Coturnix japonica: one gene and its partner. The protein of the gene in region 1 purifies or fractionates together with the protein of each later gene. This does not show direct contact. Links are inferred from orthologs where the notes say so. Each region holds a gene or a part of one and is shown in the gene's direction. Other genes may lie near its edges.

What was found.
Region 2: the proteins of PSMF1 (region 1) and PSMA2 purify together in Homo sapiens (affinity purification with mass spectrometry; 3 studies listed by BioGRID and IntAct, with this or other methods). This does not show direct contact. The link is inferred for Coturnix japonica from reciprocal best matches to the Homo sapiens genes PSMF1 and PSMA2.

The regions. Positions count from the first base shown.
Region 1 is NC_029535.1:9,160,853-9,165,203, forward strand, and holds the start of PSMF1 (proteasome inhibitor PI31 subunit), read left to right. Parts: upstream 1-1,339; 5' UTR 1,340-1,432; coding exon 1,433-1,561; intron 1,562-2,040; coding exon 2,041-2,193; intron 2,194-2,390; coding exon 2,391-2,473; intron 2,474-2,732; coding exon 2,733-2,918; intron 2,919-3,241; coding exon 3,242-3,295; intron 3,296-4,351. UniProt on the Homo sapiens protein: Plays an important role in control of proteasome function. Inhibits the hydrolysis of protein and peptide substrates by the 20S proteasome. Also inhibits the activation of the proteasome by the proteasome regulatory proteins PA700 and PA28.
Region 2 is NC_029517.1:74,583,089-74,587,318, forward strand, and holds the end of PSMA2 (proteasome subunit alpha type-2), read left to right. Parts: intron 1-5; coding exon 6-128; intron 129-473; coding exon 474-555; intron 556-1,770; coding exon 1,771-1,844; intron 1,845-2,251; coding exon 2,252-2,309; intron 2,310-2,391; coding exon 2,392-2,508; 3' UTR 2,509-3,675; downstream 3,676-4,230.

The DNA.
Region 1 (4,351 bases):
ACTCCTGTCTTCTGTTTTAAAGGCTGCAGGACTTTCTGGAAGCTGATCATCTCCGTTGCTCCAACACCAGCACTGTTGTGACGCGCTTGCCTTGCAGCACTAATGAGCCGGCCCTGCAACCCTCGTCACCTCGTTAAGGATGTGGCTGCCAGTCCCAGCTGTGCTGCCCGCTGCCTCCCACTTTGTTTGCAGGCTGCAGGACTGGTGTGAGGGGAACTACTTGCATTTGGCCAGCGGTTTTCAGCACCAAAGAGCCACAGAGCAAGCCAGATGCTGGGACAGGAACTGAGTGGACCAGGCAGTGGCAGTGGGGCAACACAGTCTCTGCAAATGCAGCTTCAGTTTAATAGCAATGAGGCATGGGCACAGCTGTGGTGGGAACGTGGCCTCTGGGCAGGAAGATGTAGATGGGAAGACCCATCAGCTCTTGCTGGTGCCTGCACGGAGCTGGAAGCACTTTTGATATGAGGAAGGGAAAATAAATGAAGTTGCAGTGCAGATGTCAGGTCTCGTGCAGACCCTGACTGCAGAAGGAGACCCCAGGTTGATGCAAGGCTGGGATCAGCACTGCATTTAACCTCATCCTGGTTAAATCTGTCCAACAAAATGGAGCCAGAAAGTCAGTGCAGGCTCACCCTGCATGGCTCTGTCATACCATCTCATACCACAAAGGTCTTCCATGGAGCTGGGACTCCATTCGCAAGAGGTGCAACGTTTCCACAGCCACCAGGGAGATGATTCACGGGATTCAGTGCTGAGCAGCAGGACGGGCTGCGGTCAGTTGTTCAGCTTCAGTGACTTCTTGAGGGGGAAATGGAAAGAGTGGACAGTGCAAGTTAATTAATAGACGCACGGTGAAGTCAATATGAATCAGAGCATCCCCAAGGAGCTGGAGATGAGATTGGGAAAGCAGCAGATGATGCCTTTCCTTGGCACAGGGCTCCTTTATCCAGACAGTGGCTCATTGCCGTGCAGGTAACAAGGGAAGCGCTCAGTACAGGGGTGCATGTGAGCACAGATGCAGGTTTTTTAGACTTTTACTAACTGGGGCAGTAAATGTTCAGGTCGTAATGCTATAGGTGAGAAAGAGCCTGGGTTTAGCGAGCAGAAGCAGGGCAGGAACCAGCCCATGGACAGCAGCGAGCCCTGCCACATCCAACACGCCGCCTGCAAGGGGAGCAGCGGGGCAGCCCAGCAATACAAACACCTCCTCTCCCCACCTCCCCCCGCCCCCGGCGGCCATTTCAATTCACCACCCCATCCCCGCGGCCTCCTCCGGTCGCTGCGCAGCAGACGGGAGCCCCCTAGTGAGGGCCGGCCCGGCTCAGCCCGGGGACGCGGCTCCGGCCCGGCCTGGCTCGGCGTTAAGGGGAGGGCCCGGCCCGGCCCGGCCTAGTCTGGCCGCGCCTGCTCGGTGCGGAGCGGAGCGGCCATGGCGGGGCTGGAGCTGCTGTATTGCTCGGCTCAAGCCGGCATCTCCTGCCCGCAGGATGCGTTGGTTTGCGGCATCCATTGGGAGCTGATCCAGCACGGCTACCGCTGCCTCGGCGCCGGAGAGCAGGTACGGGGCGGGCAGCACCGCTTCTGGGCCCCGCTAGGCCGCGCCGATCCTCGGCCTTTCCTAGCGACTCACGCCGCCACCGCGCGGCCCAACCCGGCAGCTGCTGCCGGAGGGAAGGACTTGTGGGCCCTGTGGATGGGCCCTATGGATTGTCCCGGTACCGGCCAACGATGCGGCTGCGATGTGTTGTTGGGGTTTGGTGCTTTGGGGAGGCTGTTGTTACAGGGGTACCAGAGCTCAGATAGGGGGTGGGGAGCCTGGGGTGGTGCTGGGGGGTTGTATTGGGCTGCACTGCACTGTTTTGGCAGTAAAGTCTCCCAGACAGCCCCCCAATGCTTGGGAGCTATGGGTGTGATGAGTGATAGAGAGCACCGTCTCCTGCTTGGGGTCTTTGTTGCCTTCAGCTCAGCAAGGTGTGGTTGTGTGCCCTCCTGTTCTAGCTGCTAGCAGGTCTTACTGCCCTGTTTGTCTTCCTGTAGCCAGGTCCTGATGAAAGGAAGTCAGAGCTGCTGCCTGCTGGCTGGGAAACCAATAAGGAGGTGTATACACTGCGCTACAAGTCCACAGATGATGCCCGGGAACTGCTGCTGAAGGCCGTTGTGGTGGATGACAGCATGATCCTCAATGTCATGGTGAGCACCCAAACTGATTGCTGCAGGAATTAGAGTCCTTTCAGATGCAGTGTCTGCTACTGTCCAACATGCGAAGAACAGTAGAGCCAGTTTCTTAAATGTTTTGCTGCTACTTGTTCTGCCTTCCTGCATCATTTGTCCCATAGGGATGGCCCTCTGCCTGGCTGCTAACATCATGCTTCTCCTGTCTTTACTAGGATCGTGCTTCGCAGAAGGTGGCAGACGTGACCTTGGCGGTGGCTGACTACATCAACCCAGAGCACCTGAATGATTTCCACAAGTAATCTCAGTTCTCTGACATCTCCTGCAGGAGAAAAAGTCTCAGCAGCATGGGGAGGGGGACAGATGGGGTCAGAGATAAGGTTAAGAGGAACCTGGAGGACTCTTCTCTCCAGCACAAATTTAGGGTGCCAGCTGGGTACATGTTTTGTGCCAGGGATGCCAAAAGAATGTCTGTCCTCTCACCACCCCTGTCCAGCACCTTTGCACCTGAGTGCCATGGCCTTCCTGTCCCACCACACTGCTTCTCCTCCCTGCAGGGTGTACAAGAACATGGAAGAGTTGAGGACAAGGATTGTTTCAAGTATCATCTCTCCCCTTGGGGTTCCCACAGAGAAGGCCAAGAAGGATTCACAGGCAGAGAAGAAGGATCCTGTCTCACCCCAGGATTTTAACCCCCTCAGGATCCCTCCCCGGCACCCTGCAGGCGTGAGAGCACCATCCTGGTGAGTGAGCAGCGGGTTTCCACTGAAGGTCCTGGCACAAACTTTACCTCTGTATTGGTTGAGGGACCATCGGGGTTTGGGGGCTGGTGGAGCAGGGACAGCAGGGGAAAAGGCAGCGCTGTGGTATATGGCAGACAGGTTCTCCCCTCTGTTCCCCTGCAAGCCTTTGGCTGGAAGTCAGAGACACCGTGGTGGCTGTCTGCTTGAGCTTAGGGTGCAAGATACTCCTTCTAAAAGTGCAAGGACTGTCATTGTGTTGCTGGCTGGAGGCTGCACGAAGTCAGCCCTTCACTGAAAGTCTTATTCACTGTGTGCTGTTTCAGGCCTTCTCCTTTGAATCCCTTTGCTGTTGGTGGGCAGGACCTGGACCCTTTGGGGTGAGTATGGCTGGGGGAGGTGGTGCTTTGCATGTCCTGGGAGTGTCACCCAGCTCTGCCCTTTACTGAGGGACCTTCCCTGAAACAGCTGCAGTCGGTCTGGCTCAGGCATTGAGCAAAGTGTGTCTGAGTGCGGGTGGCAGCGGAACAGTTCCTCATTACAAATTGCAAAGGAGCAATTGACAGTTGCTAAACCTCAGTATGGTTCTAATATTGTAATAAGATCCCGTCGCTTGCTTAGATGATAGGTTGCAATCTGCGTCTGTTTAATAATCAGCCTGTATTCATTTAACATGAGCTAATTCCTTCAGTAAATCAAAGCTGAATACATCGTTAAGTGAATGTAAGTCTCTAATTTAAAATGGTACCAGCTGCTGCATTTACAGCCCAGCAGGCTTAAAGTTGAGTCCACAGATGCCCGAGTCCTGATTGTGAGCCTCCTGGCTTTTTGGGGCACTCAAGAGCAGGGAAGCTGGAGAAAGCCTGAGTGGAAGCCGGGCTGTTTGGAGGATTGATCTTCCCAGATGCATCTTTGGGTCTTTGGTTTGGTTGGGCAAGAAGAACCTGTCATCTGCCATTCCAGATAAAAGCACATCTTCAGACAAAAAACAGTCCTTGGAGTTGTTGCAAAGCGCCTTGCGGCCCAAGGGAGTCCTCCTTAGAACAGCTCTCCAGTGGGGATCACATTTTTTCCCTCTTGCAAGACTTGATTCTCTGTGGGTTTGGCTAGAAAAGGGCCGGCTAGAAACATCCTGCCCTACTGGAAGGAGAAGCTGGGGGTGACTGGAAGGAAACCTGATAGCATGAGGAAAAGGGGTTCAGTTGTGGGGGGACGACCCTGTTTTTCCCACTGCCTCCAGCTCTTCATTGACAGTTTCTCTGTAAGTGACAAAGGAATTATTGTAAGTGGAAGCAGATTTGTGTGCTGACACCTGTCAGCGCTGGGGCCAGAGACCCAGACTCCCAGGCTTATGCTCCTGGGGCCTGGCTGTCCTGGGGCGCTCTGGGCAGCCAGCCTGGCGTAATGGAACTCATTAGCGCTGTTGTTAATGACTT
Region 2 (4,230 bases), on another chromosome or scaffold:
TTTAGAGTACTTGTACACAGAGCACGGAAGCTGGCCCAGCAGTATTTCTTGGTTTATCATGAGCCTATTCCAACAGCTCAACTAGTACAAAGAATTGCTTCTGTGATGCAGGAATATACGCAGTCTGGGTATGTGGTTTTCCAAAGTTTGCAGGTAGTTAGAACAGTAAAGTATGACAACTACCTGGTGATTAATTTTTAATGTCAAAAACGCAGATATTTTTCACTGGAAAATGATCATAGAAAGTGGGTGAGTAGGAGGACCAATAGCTGCAGTGGGTGAGATAGTTGTTATATCTTGAATTGGTTGACTAGTCATGATAACAGCTCTGTGCTGGTGGGAGGCCTTTGGGGAAATTTGATGCATCCGCAGTAAAGCAGCTTTGGTGTTCATTCAATACATTTATGAATTTAGCATGCCTGCTCTGAGTTGTTTTTTTTTTGTTTGTGTGGTGTTTTTTTATTTTTACGTAGAGGTGTTCGTCCATTTGGTGTATCACTGCTAATATGTGGCTGGAATGAGGGGCGGCCCTACTTATTTCAGTCAGATCCATCTGTAAGTATCTTACACTTGTAAATTCAACTGCTTCTGTAAAATATCTAAAATTTCGTATGTGCTTGTGAAATACTTTTTGTGGTTTGAAGGCTAGAAGTAAAGATTCCTTAACCAGAATTCAGAAGTCAGAATGATTCATGCTGGGAATGTGCCTGGAGTTTTGGCTGTTGTGCCAAAGGAAGTTTAGGAAGTGGGTGACACCTGCTTGCTTATTCTGTGCCTCCATATTTATGCATGACTGCATGAGGAATGGCAACAGTTTTTGAAGGACATCACCACCCTTTTTCATCTCTTCCTACCTGCTTGGTAGTAACAGCAACAGTCATTCTGGCATTCTGCATCAGGTACCAAGAAAAAGTATTTGACCTCAAATATGCAGTTCAAATAGTTATTCTCTAAGCTGTAGCAAAATTAGGCCAAAGTCTGTTCCACTGTGAAATGTGATGCAAATATTTTCAGATTTAGTGGCAGTGGTTAGTTTATGTGAGTTTATTTGCTGTGTTACAACAGTGTCTTTACTAAAAATTACCTGTTGATTTCCATGTAAGTTACCAGACTTTTCATCATATTAAAATATCTGTTACTCTCATGATCTTCAATAAGTTTCAGAAGTGTGAGTCACTGCCCGATGGTCAAATGTAAAAAACAAAATACAATGCCTTGTGTAAGGCATCTTGATTGAGCTATAGATAGGGTGTGATTGTCTTTATGCCACAGGAAAGAACAGGCCCAATGGCTAAATACCTTGGTAGTAGCTAAGATAAATCAGATGGCTGTTGTGTATCAAGTCTTTTGAAATGCATATATACACATGTATTTATTTGTGTATGTGCATAAACACACATACATATACCTATAAATATATATATACATTTATTTATATATGAGATGAGCCTCGTGAAAGAACTGACTGTTCATTCTCAAGGATAGAGTTTCTGTTCAACGAATCCCAAATCAAACTATGATAACAACTTACTAAATCTATTTTTCAAAGTATTGGCAGTTCTAATTTATCAGCAAGGCCCAATAAGAGTGTTTTATATGTTTCCATAGCAAATGTTTTCACATCAAATTAGTGTGAATGTAACCCAAAATAACCTCACATGTTTGCATAACATTCAGAATTTTTCTAATGGCTTCTGTACCTGTTACCAAACAACTGGATATGTAATGTTTGACTGAATTAGAAAAAACAATAGATTGTTGTTTTTACAGGGAGCTTATTTTGCTTGGAAAGCAACAGCAATGGGAAAAAATTACGTCAATGGAAAAACATTTCTTGAGAAAAGGTATGTGTATTTTTATAATGTCTAAAAGAATACTATCTCTTTTTCCAGGCTTCAGATAAAAGACTCAGGAAAATATAAATATATATACTTTTGAGTTAATGGTACAAAGATTTCAAATGCTTATGACACGATGTTTCTAATTACCATGTTAACATGTTAAACTTTTGTGTATATGATTAATTAATCCAGTACAATAAGCAGTGTGTTTATATATTTGCAAAAGCATTGTTCTACACAGTATCAGCAGCATTAGTGATTTCTTTAAATAATGATAACTGTTTTGAATATTAATATAGCAGTTCATACAACTACTTGGAGACTTGAATACTGTTTGAGTTTGTAGAAGTTCTAGACTTAGTAGGATTCAGAAAGATTGTACTGTGCTGAAATATGTGATCTTTTTACAGATACAATGAAGATTTGGAGCTTGAAGATGCCATTCATACAGCTATCTTAACATTAAAGGTTAGGAAAACATGTAAAGAATATGCATCTTACTCTTGCAATATCATTGAAATGATTCACTGAACTATATTTTCTTTAATAGGAGAGCTTTGAAGGGCAAATGACAGAAGACAACATTGAAGTTGGCATATGTAATGAAGCCGGTTTTAGGAGGCTAACTCCAACTGAGGTTAAGGACTACTTGGCTGCAATAGCCTAGTAGAAACCAAGTAAGACTGTGAGAATTCACACTAAGGTCTTTTTAATTTTGGCTCCTTCAATGTTTTTCTTTGCAGTTTTTGCATACTTATTTCTACATGGTTTGACAGATTTTTTAAATGTCATGGGTGAAAATGCAGCAGTCCTGATGTTGTAATAAATTGAATCTTAATACAGATTACTCTTCCCCTTGGTACATGGAAAGTTTGTACACCAAATACTGTACGAAATGTAAAGTTATACTGAACACATAAAAAGGCAAAATAATAAAGGTTGAAGGCCTCTGTTTTGCGGGAAAGTGTGTGCGTCTTTTTGTTTGTCTCTAGGAAGCTGAGATTTTGGTATCTTCATTGTTGAGGAAAATTTTTTCCACGTTAGCCATTGTGAACTTCTAAACTCTGTGCATACAAGAGCATTTTTTCACTTTGGAATTTAGTGTAATTATTAAGTAACTTCCTAAAATGGGTTGCTCTGGTGTAAAACATACTTCCATAGGCGTGTAGAACAGTCTTCGATTTGGGGGATGAACTGTGATTTACTCAAACAGCTCTGCTTCTGAGTGTCTACAATTGTCTCAGTCTTCGCATCTTAAGAGTTTGTTTTTTGTTAGTCATTTGACTTCTATGATCCTAGAAATTGAAATTCTTCAATCCTGTAATGCTGTTAGGAATAACAGAAACAATTGCTATAGATCAAAACCTAAATGCATTTACCAGTACTTTTAAAAATCAATGGGATGTGGAAAGCAAAATGAGAACATGTAATGTAATTACTTTATTCCTTGAATAATGCTGAAGTACTTTTCAACTTGCAAGATGGAATGGTAACGAAAAGATCACTAAATTTATGCATTGCTACTTTTAAACATGCAGAACTAGATACTTGAACATTATGGTGGGTATATGTACCATTAGTTTCTTCTGGTTCTTTCTTAAGTGTGTAGTGTCTGTAGGGTTATGTAGAAACAAACTGCACAAAAGAAAGAGGCTTAAATATACTTTTTTTAAAGTAGAAGTCTTTTAAAGTTACTGATAATGAAATGGAAACTACAATAGTTGGATCAGTCTGCTTGTATATTAGTAAAGTTAGCAGCCACACAGGTCAAATGTTAACCATCCATAACCAATGAAGAAAATAAAAAGTCTAAAAAAAGTGACATACAAACTAACTGATCTTTTCTATGTCTGTTTTCTAATGTTTTATGTTATCATTAGGCGAATAAGAATTTAGGCAAATAAGAATTTAGGCAAATAACAATTCAGTGATTCTGTGAATTTCTGAAACACACCATAAATTTTTATTTCATAATATCAAAAATAAAAATTTATGTTCAGATGGTTCTTTAAGATTTGTCCAGATCACTTTGTGAGTATTTTTTACACAAAACTAATTCATGTTCTGATTCTTAGCGAAAACTGAGCAACAAGGAAGTGTATCCAGAGACTATATTACTAGATTTTAATTTGTGCTCCCAGAATCATCATTCAGAAAAACTGAACTCTACCATAATATTTACATGCATCCAATCTGTTTTTAATGTTATATAGATAAGGGAATTTTGTATGCAAAAGAAGAAAAAAAAAAAAAAAAAAAAAAAAAAGCAGGTAGGTATTTAAGAAAATAGTTAGCATGAATGGCAGTAGGTTAGTTGCATCCTCTACTAGAAAGAGTTGATTAGAGAAGAGCACCCTGTGAAATGTAATCAAAACCAAAGTACTTCAAT